Linked DNA regions of Saccharomyces cerevisiae S288C. The gene in region 3 interacts genetically with the main gene of each other region. Each region holds a gene or a part of one and is shown on either strand. Other genes may lie near its edges. The genes, in order: GCN20, UGA3, DIT2 and RPS6B.

Region 1 (8,848 bases), on a different chromosome or scaffold from region 3:
GTTAAATCGCAATCCGAAGCTATCAAAGATATCCACAGCATTTTTTATTGCTGGTGAAGAATTAGAGGGAAACAAGTATTGTGACACCAACAAAGATTTTAGACAGAATAGATATTTTTATCATTTGTCAGGTGTTGATATACCTGCTTCGGCGATATTGTTTAACTGTAGCACAGATAAGCTGACATTGTTTTTGCCAAACATCGATGAAGAAGATGTCATATGGAGCGGTATGCCTTTGAGTTTGGATGAGGCAATGAGAGTGTTTGACATTGATGAGGCCTTGTACATATCTGATCTGGGGAAAAAATTTAAAGAATTGCAAGACTTCGCTATCTTTACAACCGATTTGGACAATGTTCATGACGAGAATATTGCAAGATCACTAATTCCTTCAGACCCTAACTTCTTTTATGCTATGGATGAAACTAGAGCAATTAAGGATTGGTATGAAATTGAAAGCATCAGAAAAGCTTGTCAGATTTCAGACAAGAGCCATTTGGCCGTTATGTCCGCGTTGCCCATCGAACTGAACGAGTTACAAATACAAGCTGAATTTGAATACCATGCAACCCGTCAAGGTGGTCGTTCTTTGGGCTATGACCCCATTTGTTGTTCTGGACCGGCATGTGGCACTTTACATTACGTCAAGAATTCAGAAGATATCAAAGGTAAACATTCCATCTTAATTGATGCAGGTGCAGAATGGAGACAATATACAAGTGATATCACCAGATGTTTCCCAACTTCAGGCAAGTTTACTGCGGAACATCGTGAAGTTTACGAAACCGTTCTTGACATGCAAAACCAAGCAATGGAAAGGATTAAACCTGGTGCTAAATGGGACGATTTACATGCACTGACACACAAGGTTCTTATTAAACATTTCTTAAGTATGGGTATTTTCAAGAAAGAGTTTTCTGAGGACGAAATCTTTAAAAGAAGAGCTTCTTGCGCTTTTTATCCCCATGGACTAGGGCATATGTTGGGGCTTGATGTACACGACGTTGGTGGTAATCCAAACTATGACGACCCAGATCCAATGTTTAGATATTTAAGAATCCGCCGTCCTTTGAAAGAAAATATGGTTATCACTAATGAACCAGGTTGCTACTTTAATCAATTTTTGATCAAAGAATTTTTGGAAAAGCACCCCGAAAGATTGGAAGTTGTCGATATGAGCGTATTGAAAAGATACATGTATGTCGGTGGTGTTAGAATTGAAGATGATATCCTTGTTACCAAAGATGGTTACGAGAACTTAACTGGTATTACTTCTGACCCTGATGAAATTGAAAAAATCGTTCAAAAAGGTTTGAAGAAACCCCGTTCAGGTTTCCACGTAATCGTTTAGGTATTAACTTTTTTTTACTCGCTTCTAGAAGTTTAGTATATTCTTTTGTACACAGAATTGTATATTTTTTTTATAATCTTGGATTCACCATTTAACTAGATTTGGAAATATAAGGAATGGCACTGAAAAAATTAAGGACCAACCCCGAAGAGCAAAAAATGAATGCGAATTCTGTGGATCGAACACAGGACCTCCAGATAACTTGACCGAAGTTTTTTCTTCAGTCTGGCGCTCTCCCAACTGAGCTAAATCCGCTTCTATTTATGAAAAATTCATTGTTACAGGAACTATAGGACTATAATAACTAGCTGCTAACACCTTTAAATGTGACTTTTCTCATAAGGAAATCTAGCGATTCAGAATTCGAGAATTTTGCAGATTGCAAAGTTTTCTTTTTACCATAATATTTGAGAATGTTGTAAAACTTGAGATAATTATTCGGATGTCATTGTTGATTGAAGATAGCATTCCTATGAGTCGCCCTCGAGGACTTGGATCGAAAAATCTACATAATATTAGTAATTACTATTATTGTTGGAATTGGATAAACCGTCGTCCACCTATTTGAGAAATAGGTAATTATTATATGAGTTATTTGGTTCCTTTTTGTTAAAGTAATAATTTGAAATGCCATCCATTTGGTAATATTCATGTTATTGGCATATTATCATATGCGGTTCAGGAAGATGACATAAAAGTTGAGAAACAGTTATCAACCCTAATGGAAGCTGAAATGCAAGATTGATAATGTAATAGCATAATGAAACATATAAAACGGAATGGGGAATAATCGTAATATTATTATGTAGAACTACCGATTCCATTTTGAGGATTCCTACATCCTCGAGGAGACTTCTAGCATATTCTGTGTACATAATATTATGGTCTTGATCAACAATGCAATCCCAACAGTTATCAAATTATTCAGAAAATTGATCACATTTTCGATAAATCTATTATGAAAGTAAAATTTTGACTCATACCTAAGTTCTCGTTATTCGTTAATCTTATGAACTCATTAACCTTGGCGTTTCAGCATCCGCTATGATTACTAGTGCTTAAACCTTGTTATTCATGCCTCATAATTGATGCCATCTTCTAACCTCGAGCGTGATAAAATTTTTGTAATATGAACACCAATCGGCGGAAGATCATCCCAAAGCCACATATGATGGTGCCTTATAACATTAATAACAACTTCAACTGCTGCATACCGATAATATCTTGACGATTATGCATTCGTGTCCTGATAGCTAATGCCATGAAACAATTCTTTTCAATCGCACTTGCACCTTCGTGAAATAGAAGGGTTATCTGGGCTTATCAGACTTGTCCACAGTTTACATATAATTTTTTTTCTGTATTAAATTTTGTGAGCTTTCTTTTTACTCAAACGAACTGTGTTATTTTTCGTTCATTAAATGCGTACCTTTAAGCATCATCAAGTATTGCTCTTCGGGAAAAATGAAGTAACCTTGTTAGGTTAATTTCACTAGTACTATACATATTTTATCCTGTATCATACCAGAGGATCATTCTAGCCACAATGGTCGATACGCATAAACTAGCAGACGACGTTCTTCAGCTATTGGATAACCGTATCGAAGATAATTATAGGGTTTGTGTTATCCTAGTCGGTTCTCCAGGCTCCGGTAAGTCTACTATTGCGGAAGAACTTTGTCAAATTATAAATGAAAAATATCACACATTTTTGTCAGAGCATCCAAATGTTATTGAGGTTAATGATAGGTTGAAACCTATGGTTAACCTAGTAGACTCTTTAAAGACGCTCCAGCCCAATAAAGTAGCTGAAATGATTGAAAATCAGGGGCTGTTTAAAGATCATGTTGAGGATGTTAATTTTCAACCAGTCAAGTACTCAGCCCTTACATCAAATAATGAAGAATGTACCGCAGTAGTTGCCAGAGGTGGTACTGCGAATGCCATAAGAATCGCAGCAGTTGATAATCCAGTCAATGTTAACAAGTTGGCCCAGGATAGTATCAATATAGCGCAAATAGTCCCAATGGATGGTTTTCACTTATCTCGCAGATGTCTAGACCTATTCAAAGACCCACAAACTGCCCATAAAAGAAGAGGTTCGCCCTCAACGTTTGACAGTAACAATTTCTTACAATTGTGTAAAATTCTAGCCAAGACGTCCCTATGTAAGGTCTCCTCACATCATAAATTTTACTCCACTTCAAGCGTTTTTGAGAAGTTATCCAAAACTTTTAGCCAAACAATTCCTGATATCTTTGTTCCAGGATTTAACCATGCACTAAAAGACCCAACTCCAGATCAGTACTGTATTTCCAAATTTACAAGGATAGTTATACTTGAAGGGTTATACCTACTGTATGACCAAGAAAACTGGAAGAAAATTTACAAAACATTAGCTGATACGGGAGCACTTCTTGTTTATAAGATTGACATAGACTATGAGGCCACCGAAGAAAGGGTGGCCAAAAGGCATTTGCAATCAGGGTTAGTCACGACTATTGCAGAAGGACGAGAGAAGTTTCGCAGCAATGATTTGTTGAATGGCAGGGATATAGATAATCATTTAATTAAGGTAGATAATATCGTCCATATCCGCAACGACTAGAAGGTTAGGCGGAACCTTGTATATATTTTTGTAAAATCGAACTGAATACAGATAATTAAGGCGCGCAAGCAAAAACGGCATTCTTTATGAACTCTGCAGAGGTGCCCTTTATTACGACATATATGGGAAGTAATACATATTGATTCTACAAGAAGTTCAAGCCAAGGTTTAGATATGAGTGACCAAATCAACGTTTTGTCAATGCAACAACAACAACAGCAGCAGCAGCAGCAGCAGCAAGTATATATGTCTCCTCAAGCAGAAAACTTGAATCATATGTACTTGTTAGTTAACAAGCTAGTGAAACAGTTGAGGGAAAATCAAGCAGAAAAGGCGAAAATACTAAGGAACATAGACATATTATCCGGAAGCTTAAACAAGTATGAGACATCTGAAGAACCTCACGATACCACGGAAAATATTGCATTATTTAATAGATTTCTAGAACAAAGAGGGAAAGCTCCTATTACTGAGAAAGAGCAACTAAGCAACAATCTGGATGAAAATGCGAAAGATGACGTTATGCTAGGAGTGTTGAAGCGCCAAAATTCAATGCTCCGGAAAAGTTTACAGGAATCCAAGCAGGTAACCCTTGAATCCATGGATTTATTGTCTTACTCCGAAGACTCTTTAAATTACATTGTCGCCCAATTAAGAGGAAACATTCTAATGCATCATAAAGAGACTATCAAATTGATTAGGCAGAAATTCCAGACGGAGACAATTCCCCTCGAAGATGAAGAGTTCAAGATGTATTTGGAAAATGTTAATGGTCTGCAAAAATTGACAGATATATCTCACACTTATAGATTACTACTGAGGTTACATGCACAAGATTGAAACTTTGCCCTTTTGCTTCCAATGAAAGCAAGATGACAAATATACATGCTTCTTATATTCGAGATTGCGCAAAAATTCGAAGCTCATTTATGAAGGCTTTTTCCATTCTGATATATGTTTATGAAATTGAAAAAGTAACGACGGTGGAACATTTTGCGGGAAAACAACTCACAGAATGTCTTGACGTTCTTTTCCTGCAGTTGCGTGCGTAAGATATCCTAAGCTACTGTATTATTTGCCAAAAATAATAAAATGTTGGAGGAAAGCCTCTATAAATACACAGGATATATATGTTTAATAAACATATATAATTTCCTCAATATTTGCAAAAGCATTTTGTTGTGATGAGAGTCGATTATCGTTTACCGATTAGTATCTATACTATTAATATATTTTCATATAATTAGTATAATCTCATATACGCTGCCAGAAGATAACATGAAAATTAAGAAACAATCATCAGCTTCAATGGAAGTTGAAGTGCAAGGATAAATAATACTATTTAGAAATATGGATTTTCCCTCGTTGACTAGAAGATCTGTGAAGATTGGGTGAATAGTTTAATAATTATTGGATCCCATTATTGATCAAGGCTATAATACTTGACTATTTGGCGAATTTTGAGATAATTGTTGGGATTCCATTGTTGATAAAGGCCATAATATTATGTATACAGGATATACTAGAAGTTCTCCTCGATGATATAGGAATCCTCGAAATGGAATCTATATTTCTACATACTAATATTACGATTATTCCTCATTCCGTTTTATATGTTTCATTATCCTATTGCATTATCAATCCTTGCACTTCAGCTTCCTCTAACTTCGATGACAGCTTCTCATAACTTATGTCATCATCTTTACACCGTATATGATAATATATTGATAATATAACTATTAGTTGATAGACGATAGTGGATTTTTATTCCAACACACTAATTATCATTCGTTACATCTCAAATTGGTTAGAGAAGTTACAAACATTATTATTGATTTATCCAAGGATAGTTTTCACAAGAAAACAAGCGCAAGTGGTTTAGTGGTAAAATCCAACGTTGCCATCGTTGGGCCCCCGGTTCGATTCCGGGCTTGCGCAGTTTCTTTTTTTTCTGATTTTTATTTTTTTGTTCCTGAAAATTTTTCGTATTATTAGATCTAGTAGAAAATGAAAGACATTTGAAAAGAGAAATATATATTCTGCAGTAAGCTAGCTAAGACTAGTCGTTTTGAAGCGCTAAAACGTTAACTTCGATTCATAGCACAAAAGGTAAATAACTTTTTTGAAATGGCAAGCATCGGTTCGCAAGTGAGAAAAGCTGCTTCTAGTATTGACCCTATCGTCACGGATTACGCAGTGGGCTACTTTAACCACTTGTCCGGAATAACTTTTGATGCTGTTCAAAGTAAGCAGGTAGATTTGTCCACTGAAGTGCAATTTGTGTCCGATTTATTGATTGATGCGGGTGCGTCAAAGGCTAAAGTTAAAGAACTATCGGAAAGTATTTTGAAGCAATTGACTACTCAACTAAAGGAGAACGAAGCCAAATTGGAATTGACCGGTGATACGTCCAAGAGATTACTTGATATTAATGTCTTAAAGAGTCATAACAGTAAATCCGATATCAACGTCTCATTAAGCATGCTGGGTGTGAACGGTGACATCGAACATACTGGTAGAAAGATGGAAACAAGAGTTGATTTGAAAAAACTGGCCAAGGCTGAACAAAAGATCGCAAAGAAAGTCGCCAAGAGAAATAACAAATTTGTTAAATACGAGGCTTCTAAATTGATCAATGACCAAAAGGAGGAGGATTACGATTCTTTCTTTTTGCAAATCAACCCTTTAGAATTCGGTTCATCCGCTGGTAAATCCAAGGATATCCATATTGACACTTTCGACTTGTACGTTGGTGACGGTCAAAGAATTTTGTCCAACGCCCAATTGACTCTAAGTTTTGGTCACAGATATGGTCTTGTGGGCCAAAATGGTATTGGTAAATCTACTTTGTTAAGGGCTCTATCTAGAAGAGAGCTGAACGTCCCCAAACATGTTTCGATTTTACACGTGGAACAAGAGTTAAGAGGTGATGATACAAAGGCTTTACAAAGTGTGCTGGATGCAGACGTTTGGAGAAAACAACTATTAAGTGAAGAAGCCAAGATCAATGAAAGATTAAAGGAAATGGATGTATTAAGACAGGAATTCGAAGAAGACAGTTTAGAAGTTAAAAAATTGGACAATGAAAGAGAAGACTTGGATAACCATTTGATACAGATTTCTGACAAATTAGTCGATATGGAATCTGACAAGGCTGAAGCTAGGGCAGCATCAATCTTATATGGTTTGGGGTTCAGTACGGAGGCACAGCAACAACCCACTAATTCCTTTTCCGGTGGTTGGAGAATGAGATTGTCCTTGGCAAGAGCCTTATTCTGTCAACCAGATCTTTTGTTGTTAGATGAACCTTCCAATATGTTGGATGTGCCATCCATCGCTTATTTAGCAGAGTATTTGAAAACATATCCAAATACAGTTTTGACAGTTTCTCACGACCGTGCATTCTTGAATGAAGTGGCTACAGATATCATTTATCAACACAACGAAAGACTAGACTATTACAGAGGCCAAGATTTCGATACCTTTTACACCACAAAGGAGGAACGTAGAAAGAATGCTCAACGTGAGTATGATAACCAAATGGTTTACAGAAAGCACTTGCAAGAGTTTATTGACAAATACAGATACAATGCTGCCAAATCACAGGAAGCTCAATCAAGAATTAAGAAATTGGAAAAATTGCCCGTTTTGGAGCCACCTGAACAAGACAAAACCATTGATTTCAAATTCCCTGAATGTGATAAATTGTCTCCACCAATTATCCAATTGCAAGACGTTTCCTTTGGTTATGATGAAAACAACCTATTATTGAAAGATGTTAACCTGGACGTTCAAATGGATTCCAGAATTGCCCTTGTAGGTGCCAATGGTTGTGGTAAGACTACACTGTTGAAGATTATGATGGAGCAGTTAAGACCACTAAAAGGCTTTGTATCAAGAAACCCAAGATTACGTATAGGCTACTTCACTCAACATCATGTGGATTCTATGGATTTGACCACGTCTGCAGTGGACTGGATGTCCAAATCCTTCCCAGGTAAAACTGATGAAGAGTATAGACGTCATCTAGGTTCATTTGGTATCACTGGTACCCTGGGTCTACAAAAGATGCAATTATTATCCGGTGGTCAAAAATCTCGTGTAGCATTCGCTGCATTGTGTTTAAATAATCCACACATTTTGGTTCTGGATGAACCTTCTAACCATTTGGATACCACTGGTCTAGACGCTTTGGTAGAAGCCTTGAAAAATTTCAACGGTGGTGTCTTAATGGTTTCCCATGATATCTCTGTTATTGACTCTGTTTGTAAAGAGATTTGGGTTTCAGAGCAAGGTACTGTCAAGAGGTTCGAAGGTACAATTTACGACTATAGAGATTACATCTTGCAGTCTGCTGATGCTGCAGGTGTGGTTAAAAAGCATTGATTATTTAGGAAGCACCTCAGAATATATTTTCCATAGAAGCCTAAATTAAGTATGCATTCATAGCCCCATGATACTTTTTTTTTTTGACTACTTGTATTGGAATCTAATTGACCTAACTGGGCATTCTGGGTCATTGGTATATGTATCACTTTTTACGTAAAAAAGTAGTGGCTAATATAAAACATAAAATCTACAAGAAGGGTGAAGTGCTTTTCGAATTTTGCCACTGCAAGTAATTGGTGCAATTGAAATACGAGATTTCGTTCTCTAAGAGGATATAAAAATAAGGAAATTAGCCCTACCTATCCTTGTGTTAAAATATGAGCGGAGAAACGTTTGAGTTCAATATTAGACATTCTGGTAAAGTTTACCCAATAACACTTTCCACTGATGCTACTTCAGCAGATTTGAAAAGCAAAGCAGAGGAATTGACCCAAGTCCCAAGTGCCCGCCAAAAATACATGGTTAAAGGTGGCTTGTCTGGCGAAGAGTCCATTAAA
Region 2 (4,554 bases), 1.1 Mb from region 3:
TATGAGCTAGCCAACGTAAAGGTTGAGCTCTATCCCAAGAGGGGAAAGTATTAGTGGAAAATCTTGAATGGACCAACGCCATGTGGGATTTGAAATGCGCATTAGTCAAGTCGGGATAGTAGTTATACACTTGAGCTGGCGTCAATTGACCCTTGTAAACAATGGTGGTATTGTTTAGGGAACAAACATAGAACCAGTTTTCCAGTCCTATTTGAAGAGAGGCCTCCTTCCTTAAAAGATACAATTGAGTTCTAAATTTAGTTTCATTAAACTCCGGTTGTTTTTCATCATACAATGGAACCAATAATGGCTGTAGAATAGTAGGTTCACGAGATAATGCAACGTCTCCTAAAATAGTAGAATCTACGGGGACGTTTCTCCAACCTAATACGGATAAGTTGAAGGATGCAGCTAAATCCTCGAAAATCTTCTGACACTTAATTAAATTTTTCTTGTTATTTTTTTCGTTCTTCTTGAAGAAGACGTTACCTACGGCGTATTTGCCCATCTCAGGTATGTCTAGATCAAGATCTAACTTGAATTCTCTTTTCATAAATTCGTGAGGAATACCTAGCAGAATACCGGCACCGTCACCGTTCCCATCAGATGAGACGGCACCACGATGTGTCATATTCACTAAAAGATATCTAGCGTCAGTAACAATCTTGTGAGACTGTTCACCATGCTTATTTGCTACGAAACCGACACCACAAGCGTCATGTTCATAATCAGGGTCGTAAAGTCCTCGTTTGTCCGGAATCACATTTGCCCAAGATTTATGAAGATGGTGTTCATCGTTATAGTTTTGAATTGTCCCACCTTCGTAAGCTTCTTCCAATGGATCGAAATTGTCTGATTTCAACACTGGCATGCTTTCTTTTCTAATTCTTTTTCTAGTTCTTCAAAATAAATAAATGGCAAATAGATTAAGAAAAAAGAGAGAGTAGAAAGACAAAAATAAATAAAAAAAAACTGAAGCAGAAAAATAAATAAATAAGTTAAACGTTAATCACTACCTCAATGAGCTAAAAGAAGGGGAAGAAAGAGCAACTGAGAGTATCCGTCTGCGTAGTATAGGACTGAGATAGCAATTTCCTATCTTCCTATGATGTGGAGACGATTAGTTTGGTGTGTTATCAAGTAAGATATAAGAATTGATTAATTTGGTAAGAAATGAAACAATAGGACGAAAAATACAATAAGATAAGGAAGACCATCAGAACTTATGAATGACTAAGAAAAGCAGTTTATATTTTTTTTTTGGGCAATTTATTGCTTCTTTTTTTTACGTTTTGCGGGCATCACGTTCGTCGTGACATATGACTTGAAAAATGTGCAAAAGCTTATCGGAGCCAATCGGATTGACGCATTAAAACCGAAGTGTATTAGGACCAAATTTGCGCTGTATAGGGTTGAACGGTAGGGCTACCAGGGTCTGAGTCATCAAAGAAAAAGAAATTACAATAAGAGTCTTACTTAAGATGATATAGAATTGTTGTTATTGTTCATGTATGGATGCCAAGAAAACAAAGTTTTTTAAAGTGAGGTATGAATTATGGCGTGGAGAAGCTGAAATTGAAATATTCGAAGCATGGGTGTATTACTTGCAAGATCAGAAAGAAGAGATGCTCTGAAGATAAACCTGTGTGCCGGGACTGTCGTCGATTAAGTTTTCCCTGTATCTATATATCAGAATCTGTTGATAAGCAGTCTTTGAAAAAAATAAAGGCAGATATACAGCACCAGTTGATCAGCAAGAAAAGAAAGCATGCTCCTGACAGTGCTCAGAAAGCGGCCGTGGCCACCCGTACTCGACGGGTCGGTAGCGACGAACAGGATAACCAGGTATATTTGTCAAAACCGCTGGAAGATTGCATTTCTCAGAAGCTGGACTCTATGGGATTGCAGCTGTACAACTACTACAGGTCTCACCTTGCAAACATAATTTCCATCGCGCCCATGAACCAGAACTACTATCTGAACATTTTCTTGCCAATGGCCCACGAGAATGATGGTATATTGTTTGCTATTCTTGCTTGGTCAGCTAATCATTTGTCTATATCATCATCAAATGAGCTGCGAAAGGATGAAATATTTGTCAACTTGGCGAACAAGTATACATACATGTCGTTATCGCATCTAAAGACAAACGAGGGCTCAAGTGCCTGTGCTAAACTGGGGTTTCTATATTCACTAGCACAAATCCTAATCTTATGTGGTTCAGAGATATGTCAGGGTGATGTGAAATTTTGGAAGATATTATTGAATATAGGAAAAAATTTGATCGAAAACCATGTGGGCAAGGATGTCTCACGGATACTAACCACTACTACAGAAGAACCCTCCCTAGAGGAGAGGATAATCTTCCCCAATTTCAATTCCGTTGTTAAGTACTGGCTGATTGTGAATTTTATATATCATGATATTTTGAATTTCAATACAACGTCCTTCCCGATCGAACAATACGAGAAATTCTTCCAAAGGGATCAGAACTCTTTACCCAGCTCAGCCAACTTTATTGAGTCAATAGACTCGCCAATTGAGGAAATAGACCCTTTAATTGGCATCAACAAGCCTATTTTACTACTATTGGGACAAGTCACAAATTTGACGAGGTTTTTGCAGACTATGGAACAGGAAGAAATGCTAGAGCATGGCGATAAAATTTTGAGTTTGCAAGTCGAGATTTATAAATTACAACCTTCGCTTATGGCGCTGGAACATTTGGATGATGAAAAGAAATTTTACTATTTAGAACTATTCGAGATAATGAAAATTTCTACCTTAATGTTCTTTCAATTAACTTTATTAAAGATTGACAAAGATTCGCTGGAACTACAGATACTGAGAAACAAATTGGACTCGAAGCTAGACAAGGTCATCGGAACTTTTTTGGAAGGATCGTTATGCTTCCCACTTTTCATTTACGGTGTATGCATTCAGGTAGAAGATATGGAGAAAAAAATAGATTTGGAAGCCAAATTTGACGACATTTTAAAACGATATAAATGTTACAATTTCCAAAATGCTAGATTATTGATACGGAAAATTTGGCAAAACGAGGCTGATGGCATCAGTGAGCATGACCTGGTCCACATGATTGACGAATTAGATTACAATATTAATTTTGCCTGAGCAGCATATATTTTCTTTCCCCGCCCCCTGGGTGTCTTAAATTATTGTTTCACCACACAAACATATATATGTTCTTTTTTTTTTTTGTAGGACGTACGGATTCAAAAACAATTTATACCTATACAATGTAGAAATGCTAACGTTGAGACATAGAAGTAATTATTTAATTAACCATTTTAGGTGATTATTTTCAGGGGTGTCCGAGTCCACCTCTACAACATCCACCTGCCCGGTTTGATACCTGTAATCGCCTGTCTTGGAGTCCTCCACAAAGCTTATGCTTCTCTCAGATTTCCTGCGTGGCCTATCCATTATGGCTGCTCCTGCATACGACGTGCCAGTGCCGCCAATCATATCTATATCATGATTGCTTTCCCCGTCGCTTGTACTATCTTCATTCGAGTGGACGTCATGAGCCCATACAGATTTATACCGATTTGCTCTCGGAAATTCATGGCCATCTAGCACTTGTATTCTTTGGTAGTGATCACTATCATTATCCTCGTCACTCTCGTCCCTTTCACAAACGGGGCTTTCCCTTCTCTGCTTTGCAGTCCTTGTTAATTTAGTCTTAGACTTCATTTTAGCTCTTTTATTAGATTTTGTCTTTAATTTGCCCTTGATCTTCAAAATTAACTCATCAAAGTTGTCCTCGTGTGCATCATATACCACCTTATATGATTGTTGGTATTGTGTGGCGAATAAGTCCTGGTTCCAGGCAAAACCTTGACTTTGAGATACAGATATTTTAAAATTTGGCCTTATTTCTGCACTATATGTAAATACCGAACTGGTATTTGAGTATACAATAAGTTTCTCCTTATCCTCCATGACTCTTCAGTAGCGGTTATGAACACGATATAACTATCTGCATTTAACGCTGGTACTGATTTCAATTTATCCTTATCAAATGATACGCTCTTTCCCTTTAAAAAGCGCCCTTACCTCGTTCCGAACGGCGCTAGTAAGAATTTCATCAAATTGCCCTTCTTGTGGGGGGATGCTCATCACAGACTACTGAATATGCATCACAGAAAAGACAAAAAGAACCATTAACATGATTCTGCATATATTTGAATGATTAATCCATGGTATTGATTTAAGGCGGTAAGAAGGAAAATTTAAAATTTGGATATTACCATCTTCTTCTACACTCATATATATTCCTAATTTCCTTTGCATCAGGTCAATCGTGACAGTTGTTGCTTATAAATGCGATTATTTTCTGCGTAATATCCATAATTACTTCAAGAACCCCTTAGGTGACAACCGAAAGTCAGCAGTCACTTAATAGTATTTAGTGTCAGAATTTGTTGGCCTATTTTCTTACATTCACTATATAATACTTACGGGGCTAGTTTTATTTTCTACCACAAATAAAAATAAAGCATCTTTTAATTTTCTTCCCTTGAATGGCTT
Region 3 (7,932 bases):
TGAAAATGCCAATAACGTAGACAAGCTCACTTCGTCGATTTATTCTCTAACATTGGGTCGATCAGGTCTGTCCACCTATCTCTTCTCCCAGAATATCATAGCCTTTCTTTTTCCGTTTCTCCTCCTACACCATTCTCCTTTGCGATTAGACAGTGGGAAAGTCCAAGAATAGATTCACATTTCAACCACTGTATAAATAACTCAATTTCTGAGAATGTTTTTTATTAAAGACCTTTCGCTTAATATTACCCTTCATCCGTCCTTTTTCGGTCCTCGAATGAAGCAATATCTAAAGACAAAACTATTGGAAGAGGTTGAAGGTTCGTGTACGGGTAAATTCGGATATATTCTTTGTGTCCTAGACTATGATAATATAGATATTCAACGTGGGAGAATATTGCCCACAGATGGGTCCGCCGAGTTCAACGTGAAATATAGAGCTGTAGTTTTCAAACCATTTAAAGGGGAAGTAGTGGACGGCACAGTCGTTTCATGTTCTCAGCACGGGTTCGAAGTGCAAGTAGGTCCAATGAAAGTATTTGTGACAAAGCATCTGATGCCTCAAGATTTAACCTTTAATGCGGGTTCAAACCCACCATCATACCAAAGTTCCGAGGATGTCATCACCATAAAAAGTAGAATTAGAGTTAAAATTGAAGGTTGTATCAGTCAAGTGAGTTCTATTCACGCAATCGGTAGTATCAAAGAAGATTATTTGGGTGCTATTTAATCACTTGTTACTCCGCAACGCTTTTCTGAACGCCCGCCTTCGCCTTTCATTATCATTCTCATCCCAAAAGAACTGTGCATGTTATTTGCAATACTTCATATACGCTCTGTATTATTAATAGTATCATTAATTACGTCAATTGAAATTCAAAATATCATCTTTGACAGTAACATCTATCCTCTTAGACAACTAGGGCCATTGCAGTGTCTCGAAACCATTAATATCACTGAAAAGATGAAAAGAAAGGCAAATATATATTGATCACTAATTTTCTAAGCTAAAGAATCTATTCCCCCTCTGTTAAATGGAATTGTGTGAAATAAAATATTATAAAATCAGAACTTTGGGGGGGAAACATAAAAAAATGAGAAAAAGAAAACGAACTAACTAATGTTTAAGTAAAAGAACAAAAAGGTAGACCAATGTAGCGCTCTTACTTTATTAAGAGATTTTCTTGATAACGAAATGTCCTCCTTCTCCAATATCGAAACGAGTATCTTTCCATACACCATCATACATACCCTTTTCGAGAGCCTCCTTGACTACTTTTGATTTTGTCAAAAAGTATTTCTCCTTTTCATCCTCAACCTTCACGACACAATTATGCCAAGGTGTGGGAATATGTAAAAAATCTTCAAATTTGGGTTCATCAAGGTCTTCTAACGAACTAACAATAGAACACTGTTCGTTGGAGATTACTTTTATACCAAATTTGGGCCCGCTGTTAGTGTGCGCATGAATAGAAATTCTCAAATGATGAGGGAATATCAATTCCACTAAGTTCGAATACGCGTCATTTCTCTTAATCATGTTAAAAGCGATCATTGAAATGATTTTCTTGAATTTTTTTCTGGAATAACTTTGGAAATGTTCCAGTAGAGATAAATCTTCCATCATAAAACGTGAAAAGCCCCTATACAGATGCAATCTTGGATGTCCTTCTATTGCAATCTGCTTTCTCAAACGACCTGCATCTGTATCACAGCCTTTCATCAAAATCTGTCTCGACAAATCGGACTTAGGACAGATTTGAGTTCCTGTGTAGTGTGCAACTTCAACATCACTAACCCACTTTGGATCGAAAACTTTACTAGCTGCACCGCTAAAAAATAAATCGTTCAATCCACAAAAGCCAATGGCGTCAACACCAGGTATAGCCACTCTTTTATACAGTTCGTGCAATTTGGTCGTGTAAGTACTCACGACGTCATCATCGACCCCAATACAATCGGAGAAAACATGGCCATCACTAACTATCCAAATTTTCATACCCGGTGGATATATCTTGACAAGGTCTTGTGTGGCTTTTATTAATCTTTTCAAAGCGAGTTCTTCGCCTTTGTCAGGAACGGAACCGTACACTTTTTGCTCATTAGATGACTTACATGGAAACGCTGGCAAGATGCATTCAATTCTCAAATATCGATCGGTAAAATATCTTGAACGTTCAATAAAATAATCACGGCCACCAAAATTCCATTGATCATTAACTATTGTGTTTTTCAAATTTTTCTCAAAAAAATCTGCAAATAATTCGTGATACTTAACTTCTTTGGTTACAATTGGATGTTCACTTAGAGATAATTGAGATTGGTCTAAAATATGATATACGAACCAGTTATTGAAAGAATTTTCATTCTCAACTGTTGTAACACACCCACGAATCTGGCGTTCGTCATCGCGTGTATATTCAGAAATCTTTATTGCCACTCCTAAATTATTGGTAAATTTATTTGCTAAAGAAGCTGGCAAAATTCTTTCAGAAACCCGTCCACTTACTTCGGATTCAGAAAAGTCCAGATTGTGAATAGTGTTGATAAAGTCGAGCCATTGGTCTCCAAATTTACAATTCTGTTTTTCCTCTAAAGAGTAAAAATCGTCACATTTGTCGCTTCTGCAATACAGGGCCAGAAATTTACTATATGTAGACAAATCGGCCCCATTATGGGGAATATCAATATCTTTCAACGTATCAGTCGATGAAGAAAATGAAGAGGCAGGTGGTGATATTGACTGCTCGGAGCTTGAGGGCAAGTTGCTAGTAAATGTCATTTTTGTTAATGTCTCGACAAAGCTTTACCGAATTAGGATATTAACAAATTGTTTATTTAGTCAAGACTTTGCGGAGGAGCACAATTTATGTGAAAATTTATTTCAATATTTATACATCATTTTTGATTCTGAACCTATTTTCAGAAATTGTTTTACAACATCGTAGGGCAGGCACTATGCCCTTGCAAATTTTATGATATACTGTCCACTGAAAGCAATGCAATCAAAATTCAAATAAACTCCTGAGGGGCCAATAATATAAGGATTTTTAGCACGCGACGTCTGGGATTGAGTGCCATGTATGTAAAGACGAGCAATTACTTTATGTTCCCTTATTTGTGAGGGGTTCCTGGTTTGCTTTTTTCGATCAATTCTCCTGATATTATTGAGTAAATTAGACAAATTGTTAGGAAACAACAAATTCCGATGCTTACTTACCCCTTAAATTTTCTCATTGCTCTTCATTGAGGTTGCATACCTCACCATATTTGTCATAGAAGGTCCCTTAAGGCGCCTTTTTATTTTTTCTTGGCAAGAGAACCCTTTTATTTATGGCCAGACGCGCGTCGCAAAAAAAGGTAAACATCAATAATTTTCCTTCCAGGGACTCTCAATAAAAAGACTGTAACTTGTATTATCAAATTGAGAAGCAATTACGTATTCCACCCCTCATTACTTCCCCGATACAATTTATTTTCACTTCTTTCGATGAATGCAGTGATTTCTATCTTTCCCGAAAATTACAAGCCACGGACCACAAGAGGAATGACTGGTCATCCTGATGCGAATAGTATATTAGGTAGTGCAAAAAAATACATTAATTTTCTTGAAATATTTTCGTTTTTTCAAAATGGTATTTGATTCAGACTAAGAGAATAAATCGAAAAAAGCATTAAAAATGGAGTTGTTAAAGCTTCTGTGTTTGATTTTATTTCTTACTCTTTCCTATGTCGCCTTTGCAATCATTGTCCCACCTCTAAACTTTCCCAAAAATATACCCACCATCCCATTTTATGTAGTATTTTTACCAGTAATATTTCCCATTGATCAAACGGAGCTATACGATCTTTATATTAGGGAATCAATGGAAAAATACGGTGCTGTAAAATTTTTCTTTGGTTCACGGTGGAATATTCTCGTTTCTCGTTCTGAGTATCTAGCACAAATATTCAAAGATGAAGATACTTTTGCGAAGAGCGGTAATCAAAAGAAAATCCCATACAGTGCTCTTGCCGCTTACACAGGGGACAATGTCATTAGCGCGTATGGTGCAGTTTGGAGAAACTACAGAAATGCTGTGACAAACGGGCTCCAACATTTTGACGATGCACCTATATTCAAAAATGCAAAAATTTTATGCACTTTGATAAAAAACAGACTCCTAGAAGGACAAACTTCGATCCCTATGGGACCTTTATCCCAGAGAATGGCATTGGATAACATTTCACAGGTTGCCCTTGGATTTGATTTTGGTGCTCTAACACATGAAAAAAATGCTTTCCACGAGCATTTGATTCGTATTAAAAAGCAAATATTTCATCCATTCTTTTTAACTTTTCCATTCCTTGATGTTCTTCCTATTCCTTCAAGAAAAAAAGCCTTCAAGGATGTTGTTAGTTTTAGAGAACTTCTCGTTAAAAGAGTTCAAGATGAATTAGTCAATAATTACAAATTTGAACAAACTACTTTTGCTGCCAGTGATCTAATTCGTGCTCACAATAACGAAATAATCGACTACAAACAGTTGACCGATAATATCGTCATTATCCTTGTCGCTGGCCATGAAAACCCGCAGTTGCTATTTAATAGTTCACTCTACCTTCTAGCCAAATATTCAAATGAATGGCAAGAGAAACTCAGGAAGGAAGTAAACGGCATCACTGATCCAAAAGGCTTAGCAGATTTACCCTTATTAAATGCTTTTCTCTTCGAAGTAGTAAGAATGTATCCTCCTTTGAGCACAATTATTAATAGATGTACTACCAAAACGTGCAAGTTGGGGGCGGAAATTGTTATACCCAAGGGCGTATATGTCGGGTACAACAACTTTGGAACCTCACACGATCCCAAAACTTGGGGCACAACAGCAGATGATTTTAAACCAGAAAGATGGGGTTCAGATATCGAAACCATAAGGAAAAACTGGAGAATGGCGAAAAACAGATGTGCTGTGACTGGGTTCCATGGAGGCCGAAGAGCATGCCTAGGGGAAAAACTAGCCCTAACAGAAATGAGAATTTCTTTGGCTGAAATGTTGAAACAGTTTCGATGGAGTCTTGACCCTGAATGGGAAGAAAAATTAACTCCCGCTGGGCCTCTTTGCCCTCTTAATTTAAAGTTAAAATTTAACGAGAATATAATGGAATAAATATAAAACATGTAGAATTGTATATATACGCATATATGTATACAATCGCGACAACTTTTAGTGAAACTTCTTTGTATCCAGTGAAAATGAAAGGAACAGAACCTGACCAAAGGTCAGTAGAAAAAAAAAAAGCCTTTTATAGAAGTTCTTATCCAATCGTTGACATTTTGTCTGCTCTATTTAATGCTTCAAAAATCTGATCCCAAAAGTACTGGATATTCAAATCGAGACCAATTATTGTACCAACATCACTGTCATTTGGATATTCTTTTTCAATGATAATTTTCCCTGAGTTTTCGTTGAAAACATCATCAATGCAGGATATGTCCATTCTCTTGTAGCGAAATCCAACCGCAGACGATGGATCCCACCCATAAAATTCCAAAAGCGGCATCAAAGCTACCGGATCATGTATAGGTGGGCCCGATTCAAATCCTTGCATATCCTTGTAGGTATGAGCAAAAAATTGAAAAAGCTCCAAAAACAATTCTCGTAACTTGCTGTTATTCTTTTCGTTGTATATCATTTCGTTAACCTTGTAAGTAGCTATGGCCTTGTGAGTTAAATTTAGAGGAACTACTATACATTTGTCCTTTACATCGGGATCACGGAATATGTAATTCGCTGCGTCAGGATCAATCCAAACGTTGAATTCAGCAGAAAGATTTGGGTTACAGTTTCCTAGACCATGGAGTCCACCCCCCATAATGCTAATATATTTGACAGATTTTTTTAGGTATGGTTTACACCTAAAAACTGTTGCTAATGTGGTAAGTGCACCAGTAGACACAAAGGATATCTCTCCATTGTTAGCTAGAATCGCCTCTTCAATGGCCTCAATATACGTTTTATCAGTTCTTGCCTCAAATGTTGGCTTAGGTAGCAAAGAAGTGCCGTCTAAACCTGATATACCATGAATGTCAGGAGCATAATGAGGTTCCCTTTTCCAAGGTCTCTGTGCGCCTTTATAAACTGGAATCGCTTGTGCTTTGCCCATCGCAGTCAAAAGAGAACGGGCGTTGTAGTCAGTATTCTCTGGCGGTGCGTTACCAAAACACGTGCTGATTCCTAGAAGATTGAAAGCTGGATGGAAACAGCCTAATAAAATGGCTATGGCATCATCATGACCAGGATCACAATCTAGCCATATGGGTATTTTACTAACAGTCATCTTTTCTTCAAACAGTCGCTGGTTATTGCTGTCCAACCCTTCCCCAACCTTGCAGATGAGGGAAATTATCTGTTTTAATAAGTTTCGTGAGGTAAAAAAATCAGCAGATTCCATCAAAAGTAGTTGTCACGTATGTGTCAAATATCGCGTTACGTGGTGGTGAACAGAGGGAAAACGTAATCGCGCCTCACAGGTTACCGGTGAGGCTAAGGGAATAAACTTTGAGATAATAATTAGTTATACGTATACATATGGTCGCAGTTATATGCGTTGTCTATTGTACAAATTCTGCTGTATGATTCAAGTTACTGAAGGATATGATATGTCTATCATTGCTTGTGTTCCTGCTCAGGAATAAAGATGTCATTGCCCTGTTCAATAGCCATTCTAGTATGGAAAACAATGTCAGTAGATTCCCATGGATATGCATACCACTTGTCTGGAACAGTTTTAGCTGCAAAATAACGGTTCTTGTCATTCAACATTTCGGCAGGCAAATCTGCTTTCTTTGGTTTTTGCTTATCGTGTAGAACAAAAATCCCGAAGTTTGTTTTCATCTCTGGAGACTTTTCAGTATCGATACCTTTAGCCTTTGCCTGTTCAGCTGCATCCTTTTCCAATTCACTCAAAGCGTAATGAAGTGTGGTACGGGTGTCATCGACTTCGTCAACGATAAGAACGTTCTTGCCGACTAGATCTAATTTACATTGCTCGTAATCAATCCATTGTGTTCTGCTAACCTTAACACCAACTTCCTCAACTTCTGAGCCTACACTGTTCAAATCTTCGTACAAAGACAAAATAATAGCAAAAATTCTGATGGTTGGCACGCCGGGCTCCTTTAGGAACGTACGTAGGATCCTAGCAGGAATGAAACCACCACCACCAATGGCAATGATTAAGTCCGGCTTGAAATTCTTAATTCTCTCAGCGGATACTTGACATAGTTGATGTACGTTGTTGTACGAGATGTATTGCTTATCGTTTGCCGACATTATGGGAACGTAATGGATATAATGAACACGAACGGTAATATAAAAATAAGAAAGATTACAAGGCACTACATCGTATTACTCCAGCTAGATGGAGACTAAAATAAAAAAGTTACGGCAAACCAAACTGCGAAGGGGGAACAAAATCTAACGGAAATTGGGCTTATCAAACATGTTTAAATAGAAAATTCTATAGCAGCTCATCGCTACCCGATTTGGGACAGATGGAGGGGGAAAAATTTTTTTTCCTTTTCTTTCCTAGTAAACGCGAAATATAGAGAAAAAAAATGAAAGAAGTCAGATAAGCGGAAATGATATTAATTGAAATTAATCTAATTAATTTTTTCAGAAGAAAAAAAAAATAAGTGACTCGGAAGGGAAATATGTACTGTCTTTTCTTAGTTAACCAACTATGGTTGTGACGTAAAAGTGGAGTGCTTGCTTGATGTTCCAGATGGCCTTACTGTTAACGATGCCAGATGCAGTTCAAAAAGGATAAACGATTGTGGGGGTCTTTTGACAGATCTTCTTCGCGTGGGATACTTTCGTGATCTTTTTTTTTCTTTTTTCTTTTCTTACATTATGTGGTGAACTCTATATAAGTATTTATGTGCCTAGA
Region 4 (7,377 bases), on a different chromosome or scaffold from region 3:
AATTGCAATTTTAAGATATATGAGAATATTGATAAGGCTAGAAGGATGGTAGTAAGAAAAGTTGTTGTTGGTAATTTTTCAAAAAAGAGTTTCAAGAGCTGGGAAAAGAATTAAGGCAATGGGAAGCGAACCGTTTCAGAAAAAGAATTTGGGTCTGCAAATTAATTCGCAAGAAAGTGGAACAACCCGCTCAACATTTCATTCGCTAGAAGATCTAGGAGATGATGTAATTAATGAAAGCTGGGATCAGGTGAACCAAAAGAGAGCCAATATAGATCATGATGTCTTTCATGAGCACCCTGACTCTTCCCCATCATTGTCAGCACAGAAAGCAAAAACAAAAGAAGAGGAAGTTGCTGTAAAGTCATCGAACTCCCAGTCAAGAGACCCTTCTCCTGATACTCAAGCACATATTCCATATACTTATTTTTCCAAGGATCAAAGACTAATCATTTTTGGAATTATCATTTTTATAGGATTTTTGGGCCCAATGTCTGGAAACATATATATACCGGCTTTACCATTGCTGCAAAGGGAATATGATGTAAGTGCAACAACAATAAACGCTACAGTTTCTGTATTTATGGCTGTTTTTTCCGTTGGTCCATTGTTTTGGGGCGCACTGGCGGATTTTGGTGGAAGGAAATTCTTATATATGGTGTCGTTATCACTAATGTTAATTGTTAATATACTTTTGGCCGCTGTACCAGTCAATATTGCTGCCCTTTTTGTTTTAAGAATTTTCCAAGCTTTCGCTTCCAGCTCTGTGATTTCTCTGGGAGCTGGCACTGTAACAGACGTTGTTCCTCCAAAACACAGGGGAAAGGCCATAGCGTATTTCATGATGGGTCCAAACATGGGTCCTATTATAGCACCCATTGTTGCTGGGCTTATTTTAATGAAAGGAAATTACTGGAGATGGCTTTTTGGTTTCACTTCTATCATGACAGGAATAGCATTGATCTTGGTTACTGCTTTACTTCCAGAAACGCTACGTTGTATAGTTGGTAATGGAGACCCTAAATGGGGTGACAAAAAAGATGAACGTGAAAATAACGAATCTCCATTCTTCGAAGGTAATAAAATATCACATCGGCGTCTGTTCCCAGACATTGGTATCCGTAAACCAGTCAATAATGATGCTTTCTTCCAAGAAAATTTTCCAAAGCCGCCTAAAGCAGGTTTGACACTATATTGGAAAATGATTAAATGTCCTCCAATAATAATCACGTCCGTCAGTACTGCACTCCTGTTCTCCAGTTACTATGCGTTCAGCGTCACGTTTTCGTATTACCTTGAACATGACTACCGTTTTACTATGTTAGAAATTGGTGCTGCTTATGTCTGCCCAGGTGTAGCTATGTTACTAGGATCTCAATCTGGTGGGCACCTCTCAGATTATCTTCGTTCACGCTGGATCAAAAGTCATCCTAAAAAGAAATTCCCGGCAGAGTTTCGTTTATTACTGAACCTAATTGGAATTTTACTAACAATATGTGGCACAATAGGATACGGATGGGCAATCTTCTTTCATTATCATTTTGTGGTTCTTTTAGTTTTTTCCGCTCTCACTGCCTTTGGTATGACCTGGTGCAGCAACACATCAATGACATATTTAACTGAGTTATTCCCCAAAAGAGCTGCTGGAACTGTTGCTGTTAGTAGTTTCTTTCGAAATGTGGGCGCTGCCATTAGTTCCGCTATCATTTTACAGCTCTGTAACGCAATGGGAATTGGATGGTGTTTTACAGGGCTCGGTCTCTGCAGTTCAATTTCATTGATTGGTATATTATATCTTCTCATTTTTCAAAGAAAATATACTGCCAAAGAATTTTAAGAAATAGTTTATGTTTAGCTATAAAATTTAACTTTTAGAATTTTATTATATTATTTAACTTTCAAGAAAATTTTCTCATCACTCATCCCAAGGACTTCAAGAAATAGAACAATGCATCATAAGTTTATGAATTACGTGCATTTGGACCTTCAAAGAATAAAATCGAAGTTATAGTTAATTATATTAAATTAAGCCAAAAGTACATATATCTAAAAGGAAAAAGTATAAAAATTATGCAGGTCCAAGACATACTTAAGCCTTCAAAGAAGAAGCTCTTCTCTTTCTGATTTCGGCCTTTTCAGCCTTTCTTTCAGACAATCTCTTAGCCAACAATTGAGCGTATTCGGCAGCAGCTTCTCTTTGAGCTTGAGCGTTTCTGACCTTCAAAGCTCTTTGGTGTCTCTTTCTTTGCAATCTTTGAGGAGTAACCAATCTTTGGATCTTTGGAGCCTTGGTGTAAGTCTTTTCACCCTTGGTGACTTCTCTTCTGATGACGAAATCACGAACGTCATCTTCCTTGGACAAACCGAAGAACTTTCTGATGTTGTTAGCTCTCTTTGGACCCAATCTCTTTGGAACAGTAGTGTCAGTTAGACCTTCCAATTCTTGTTCACCCTTCTTGACAATGACCAAAGCCAAGACAGCCAAATCTGGACCAACAATGGCACCTCTGACGGACTTTCTCTTTCTTTCACCATCACGTCTTGGTCTGTAACAAGAAACGTTCTTGGTCAACAACAACTTGATTCTAGTTGGCAACAAAACACCTTGCTTCATTGGGAAACCTTGTTTGTCGTTACCACCAGAGATCTTGAAGACGTAGCCCTTGAATTCATCACCAACGGCTTCACCATCGACTTCTTGACCGATTCTCTTGTCGAAGAAAACACGAATACGGTGTTCATCATCAATTTCGAAGGTCTTTTGAGACCCGTTGACTGGGTAAGAAATGTTCAACTGTTATAAATAATACCATTTGTTAGTAAAGTTGTCCGAAGCCAATATCGACAAATTCCAACGAATCCCTGCTGTCCTTTCTTCCGTTACAGGTTTTTCTTATTTTCATTGATATTTCTAAACCCTTTTCGTAAATTCCTTTTTCATTCCTTAATTTGAACTTAGCGAGATATTTTCCTAAGTGTCGGTACGTGTATATTAGAGGGAATTATCTCGTTTAAACAACGTTGTTCTTGAGAATTTTTATTATAGTGCACTAATTTGTGGGTATACGTTTATCAAACAGTCAGAAACAGCCGGTTAGCGCGTGCTGATTCATTAGAATTCTAAGGATTTGGGTGATATTACATACCTTCATGATGGCTCAGTCGTCTATTCACACTGGATAGTTTCAATTAATGACTTCCAAATGTTTTGAAGGGCACACTATTCAAATTAAGATCACTTTTCATAAAGATGAATTTTTCTCCCATCAGGCATTCATTGACCGTGCCCTACAAACCAAGCCAGCCGAGATTGTATCAGCTCCACGCACATAGGATTTTCGCCTGCCCTTGGCCCATACCGAAAGAGTTTCCTAGGATGATGGGCCGGCATGAAGATAAGCGGCCTGTATGCCCGAGACACTGAAAAAAAACAGCAAAAAAATAAGATGTATGGAGTTCAAAGATGTATGGATGCAAGAAAAGAGGTTAATGGTGCAAACTGTAGAAAAAAAAGTAAGGAAATAATTTATTTTTAATAAAATTAACTGAAAAGATACATGTATATTTTTCTCAAATTAATCAATGCAATATGTGATATATTTGCTATCTGGCTTAATGAGATAATTTTTTACATAATTATGTTGAGAAGTTAACAGGGCAGTCTCTATTGTTTTGATCGATTGAGTGCACAAAAATTGGAAGGGGGCCGTGGAGCACTACCTGCAAATTGCTAGAAATTTGCGTCACTACATCTGAAAAATGTACGAGCGACATAATTGTCTATAGCCCTAATTTAGAAGACGTTTGCCTAAATGCGCCAACATACACTCTTAATTTTAAGCGAATGCTTTCTTGTAGTAAAAAGTAGCTAGAAAGCGATTCATTAATCTGGAGAGTTTGTCGAACTCGTGGATTTCAAAGTTGAACTAGCTACCGAGGAAGGAAAAACCACAATAGATGAAGACGGGCTTTTCGGAAATTTAGGCGGTCTTCCAATTGGCGGTTTCAGAAAGAATGTTTTGTTATTTACATAAGTGCTGCCACATCGGCCATTATGATATAAGTCGTCCATATCATTGTTCTTGAATCCCAAAAACTTTGAACGAGAAAGAGGGGAGGACATGTTGCTGGCGAGCATTTGATTGGGAGTGGCTTGTACATCCGTTTTCGGTGATGCGGTTCCTGAATACATTGCTGGCGACCTCTGGCAAGCGTCATTTGTGGCCTTCGGAATATTTAGCTTTAAATATGGCTTCCCTGAGAGCTTTCCTCTATTGCTGTTCAGTTGGTGCAGGTGATGGACCATCGCCTGCACTGGAGCTGGACCTTCCAAAGTATTTGATATAGCAACTGTCGGGTGTATCTTTTGCTTTGCTTCAAAGCTCTCGCTGTCACCCGTCCCATTAAATCCTTTTCCCATTGGGTTACTATTTGCCGGAATAACCTGTACAAATTGCGATTGAAAGGATGGAATATTGCCCACTAAACTTGCAGGCAATGAAGGCTTTGGCAAATTCTCGTAAGGCGACGGGTAAAAATTATGATAATTAGAGTGGTTAGATTCAGAAAGTAGTAAATGAGTATCCGGCCTAATCCTCTTGTTCATAAAATTCCTATGAATAGCCTCGTTTGCAACATGCTGTTGGTCTACGCTTTCTTTATAATCATTAGCATGAAAACTCCCACCAGAATTTAAACCGCCTTGCAACATTTGATAATCTGCACTATTTCTTGCACAGTCAGAATGATTGGATCCGCTACGTGATATTGCTCCGTGGCAATGCACCAATGGTGTACTTACACCAGCGTTCCCGGCGTCATTTGACGCCAACGGAGCGCTTAAATTCCCATTGTTTTGTACACTGGAGGAATCTTGACTCGAAACTGTACAACTCCCAGAATGGGAAGCTGGTTGCAACACGGTTGCTCTTCTTCGCCTGCGCTTCCTTTCATTCAGAACAACACGTGGTTTTTTCACATAGTCACCATAATCAGATGGTTCTATGATATTATGAGGAAGATCAGTGTTGTTTTGATGAACATTAAGCAGGTTACTCATATCAACAGAAGAGTATTCGTAGAATGTATTATTGGATCCTAAAATAATGACAGCAATGTCTACTTGGCAAAGTACTGACAATTCATGAGCCTTTTTAAATAGTCCTGCTTTTCGCTTTATGAAAGTAACTGTACGATTTCTATCATCTTTGATAGGTTCAATTTCAATTTTTCTTCTACCCATTTAGCAGAAATTTTTTTGAAAATAATTGTGTTTGCTTATCTAGAGCTTTATTAAATTTTTTTCTGATGAGATAGGCCTGCTCGAAAAAATAGTCTGTCTTTGAATTTGGCTCGTATATTTCTCCCTTCGAATGAATGATAAAGAAAGACTCAAAGGAATGATGTAGTGTTATATAGATTGGCTAAAATAATTTGGCAAAAGAAAGATGGATAAGGATAGTTCATGTTTTTGAGTCCTTCACGAACATAGGAAGCCGGGTATGCGTGGAGATTTAAGTTTTGCCAAGCCTCCAATTACTCGAGCGAGATTATTTTTGCAGAAGAAACAAAGACGCCGCTTGTTACTAAAAAAAGAAGGCAACAATAATGCAAAAAGTTCGAACCAACTGTACCTCAAGCCGTTTTGTAAGCCACTATCATCGGGAACGGTACAGGTAGAATGATAGATGAAATTTACGTAAGCGTTAATGGAAAACAATAACGATGTGGTGTAAAAGCTAGTGCGTAGTGTGAGTGCCACTAGTTTTCTTTGACAGCTTAAGAGCAAGCTTTTGGAGCTCACAATCAAGTGAAACAAGAATTATGTTCATTTTCTCCTTCGGAACTGCAGAATAAAAATTCTTTATACTATAAACACCGCCATTATCAAAAAAGTATTGCTGAATCATGGTATACAGCGTGAAAATCTTCATGGCATTTCTACAAATTCTTTTTAGTTAGTATCGCCAACCATTAACCTTTTTAGTAATGCTGACGTTAAACGAAGGCGAAAAAAAATACTTGGCAACACCATCGTTTATATTTTTTTCAAATGGAAGTGTCGGCCGACGTAGCATAGCAGGAAAGATTCAAAGGCAAGGGTTTCACATAACGTTACCCTTCTGACCACGCCCCTTCTTTCGATCCCACTAGTGCGGACGGATTATCACGCAAGTTTTTTAACGCGAGACATCGGAAAATATTTATGCCGATTAGATCCGGCCCCTGAAACTTTTTGTTTGATACTTTCAAACGCACTACTCTACCCCATGACATAAAAAATATCTGTCTCCGGTTATATATGTCTAAATAGAATTCGGGTAGCATTTTATTTTTATCGCTTATAGGAAAAAGATATTTGCATATATATATCTATATATCCTATATACATCTATATAGTTATTGTGTAAGGGGTTTTTATAAGGTCCGATACTTACAGAGATTAATTTGTAAATAAAAGCAGAAATCTTTATTTAAGAAAATAGAAGATTGATGGGAATATTTCGTTGGAACTATCCAGAGAGTTCTGTCCCCGGCGTTTGGGGAGAAACAACTTCCACTATTGACTGGTGTGAGGAGAACTATGTCGTTTCTCCCTATATTGCCGAGTGGTCAAACACTTTAACTAACAGCGTATTCATACTGTCAGCGATTTACACAACTTACTCTGCTTACAAGAATAAATTAGAAAAAAGGTTTTTACTTATTGGCTTCGGGTACGGTTTGGTCGGAGTAGGATCATGGCTATTTCATATGACACTGAAGTATAGATTCCAACTATTGGATGAACTTCCAATGATATACGCCATGTGCATTCCGACATGGAGTTTAGTATGCGAGGCCAAAGAGGCATTACTTAACGGAGATAATCACAAGAAGGTTCCTCTATTTGAACAGATATTCATCGGCGTAATTATCGGCCTGGCCGTTACAACAGCAAGCATACTCTACGTTATTTACAAAAATGTCGATATCCATCAAATTTTGTTTGGCGTACAGATTGTAGTTGTGGCTGCTACTGCAGGAAGTTTGACGTACAGATACGTCCATGATCCACTTGCCAAAAGAAATCTCAAGGCTTCAATGGCGCTCGGCGCAATTTTGTTCTTATCTGGCTACATTTCGTGGCTACTTGATATACACTATTGTTCGTTCTGGGTGCACGTTAGAAGAAGTATTTTGGCTTTACCACTTGGTGTACTGCTTGAACCACACGGATGGTGGCATATATTAACTGGTATGGGGATTTATTTCTACATTGTTTCTTTGGAACATTTAAGGGTCATTACGCTCAACGTCAGCTGCAATTACCAGTTCATCTGGAGATGGAAAGTCTTCCCTGAACTGATATGGAAAGGGCGCAAACCCTCAACAAGA

The links.
Region 1: mutations in DIT2 (region 3) and GCN20 together harm fitness more than expected from each alone (negative genetic interaction), as found in Saccharomyces cerevisiae (2 studies listed by BioGRID).
Region 2: mutations in DIT2 (region 3) and UGA3 together harm fitness more than expected from each alone (negative genetic interaction), as found in Saccharomyces cerevisiae (2 studies listed by BioGRID).
Region 4: mutations in DIT2 (region 3) and RPS6B together harm fitness more than expected from each alone (negative genetic interaction), as found in Saccharomyces cerevisiae (3 studies listed by BioGRID).

The regions. Positions count from the first base shown.
Region 1 is NC_001138.5:156,399-165,246, forward strand, and holds GCN20 (putative AAA family ATPase GCN20), read left to right. Parts: upstream 1-6,089; coding exon 6,090-8,348; downstream 8,349-8,848. Other genes in the region: YFR006W (putative Xaa-Pro dipeptidase), read left to right, coding at 1-1,354; YFH7 (Yfh7p), read left to right, coding at 2,901-3,962; FAR7 (Far7p), read left to right, coding at 4,137-4,802; ubiquitin-specific protease UBP6, read left to right, coding at 8,669-8,848. UniProt on the Saccharomyces cerevisiae protein: Acts as a positive activator of the GCN2 protein kinase activity in response to in response to low amino acid, carbon, or purine availability.
Region 2 is NC_001136.10:154,770-159,323, forward strand, and holds UGA3 (Uga3p), read left to right. Parts: upstream 1-1,548; coding exon 1,549-3,135; downstream 3,136-4,554. Other genes in the region: GLT1 (glutamate synthase (NADH)), read right to left, coding at 1-871; UGX2 (Ugx2p), read right to left, coding at 3,295-3,966. UniProt on the Saccharomyces cerevisiae protein: GABA-dependent positive regulation of genes required for catabolism of GABA (UGA4, UGA1, and UGA2).
Region 3 is NC_001136.10:1,269,452-1,277,383, reverse strand, and holds DIT2 (putative cytochrome P450), read left to right. Parts: upstream 1-3,680; coding exon 3,681-5,150; downstream 5,151-7,932. Other genes in the region: DNA-directed RNA polymerase II subunit RPB7, read left to right, coding at 215-730; DIT1 (Dit1p), read right to left, coding at 1,172-2,782; URH1 (trifunctional uridine nucleosidase/nicotinamide riboside hydrolase/nicotinic acid riboside hydrolase), read right to left, coding at 5,299-6,321; HPT1 (hypoxanthine phosphoribosyltransferase), read right to left, coding at 6,651-7,316. UniProt on the Saccharomyces cerevisiae protein: Involved in spore wall maturation. Thought to catalyze the oxidation of tyrosine residues in the formation of LL-dityrosine a precursor of the spore wall.
Region 4 is NC_001134.8:589,623-596,999, forward strand, and holds RPS6B (40S ribosomal protein eS6 RPS6B), read right to left. Parts: upstream 3,153-7,377; coding exon 3,147-3,152; intron 2,795-3,146; coding exon 2,090-2,794; downstream 1-2,089. Other genes in the region: DTR1 (Dtr1p), read left to right, coding at 119-1,837; SMP1 (Smp1p), read right to left, coding at 3,884-5,242; YBR182C-A (uncharacterized protein), read right to left, coding at 5,739-5,933; YPC1 (phytoceramidase), read left to right, coding at 6,493-7,377.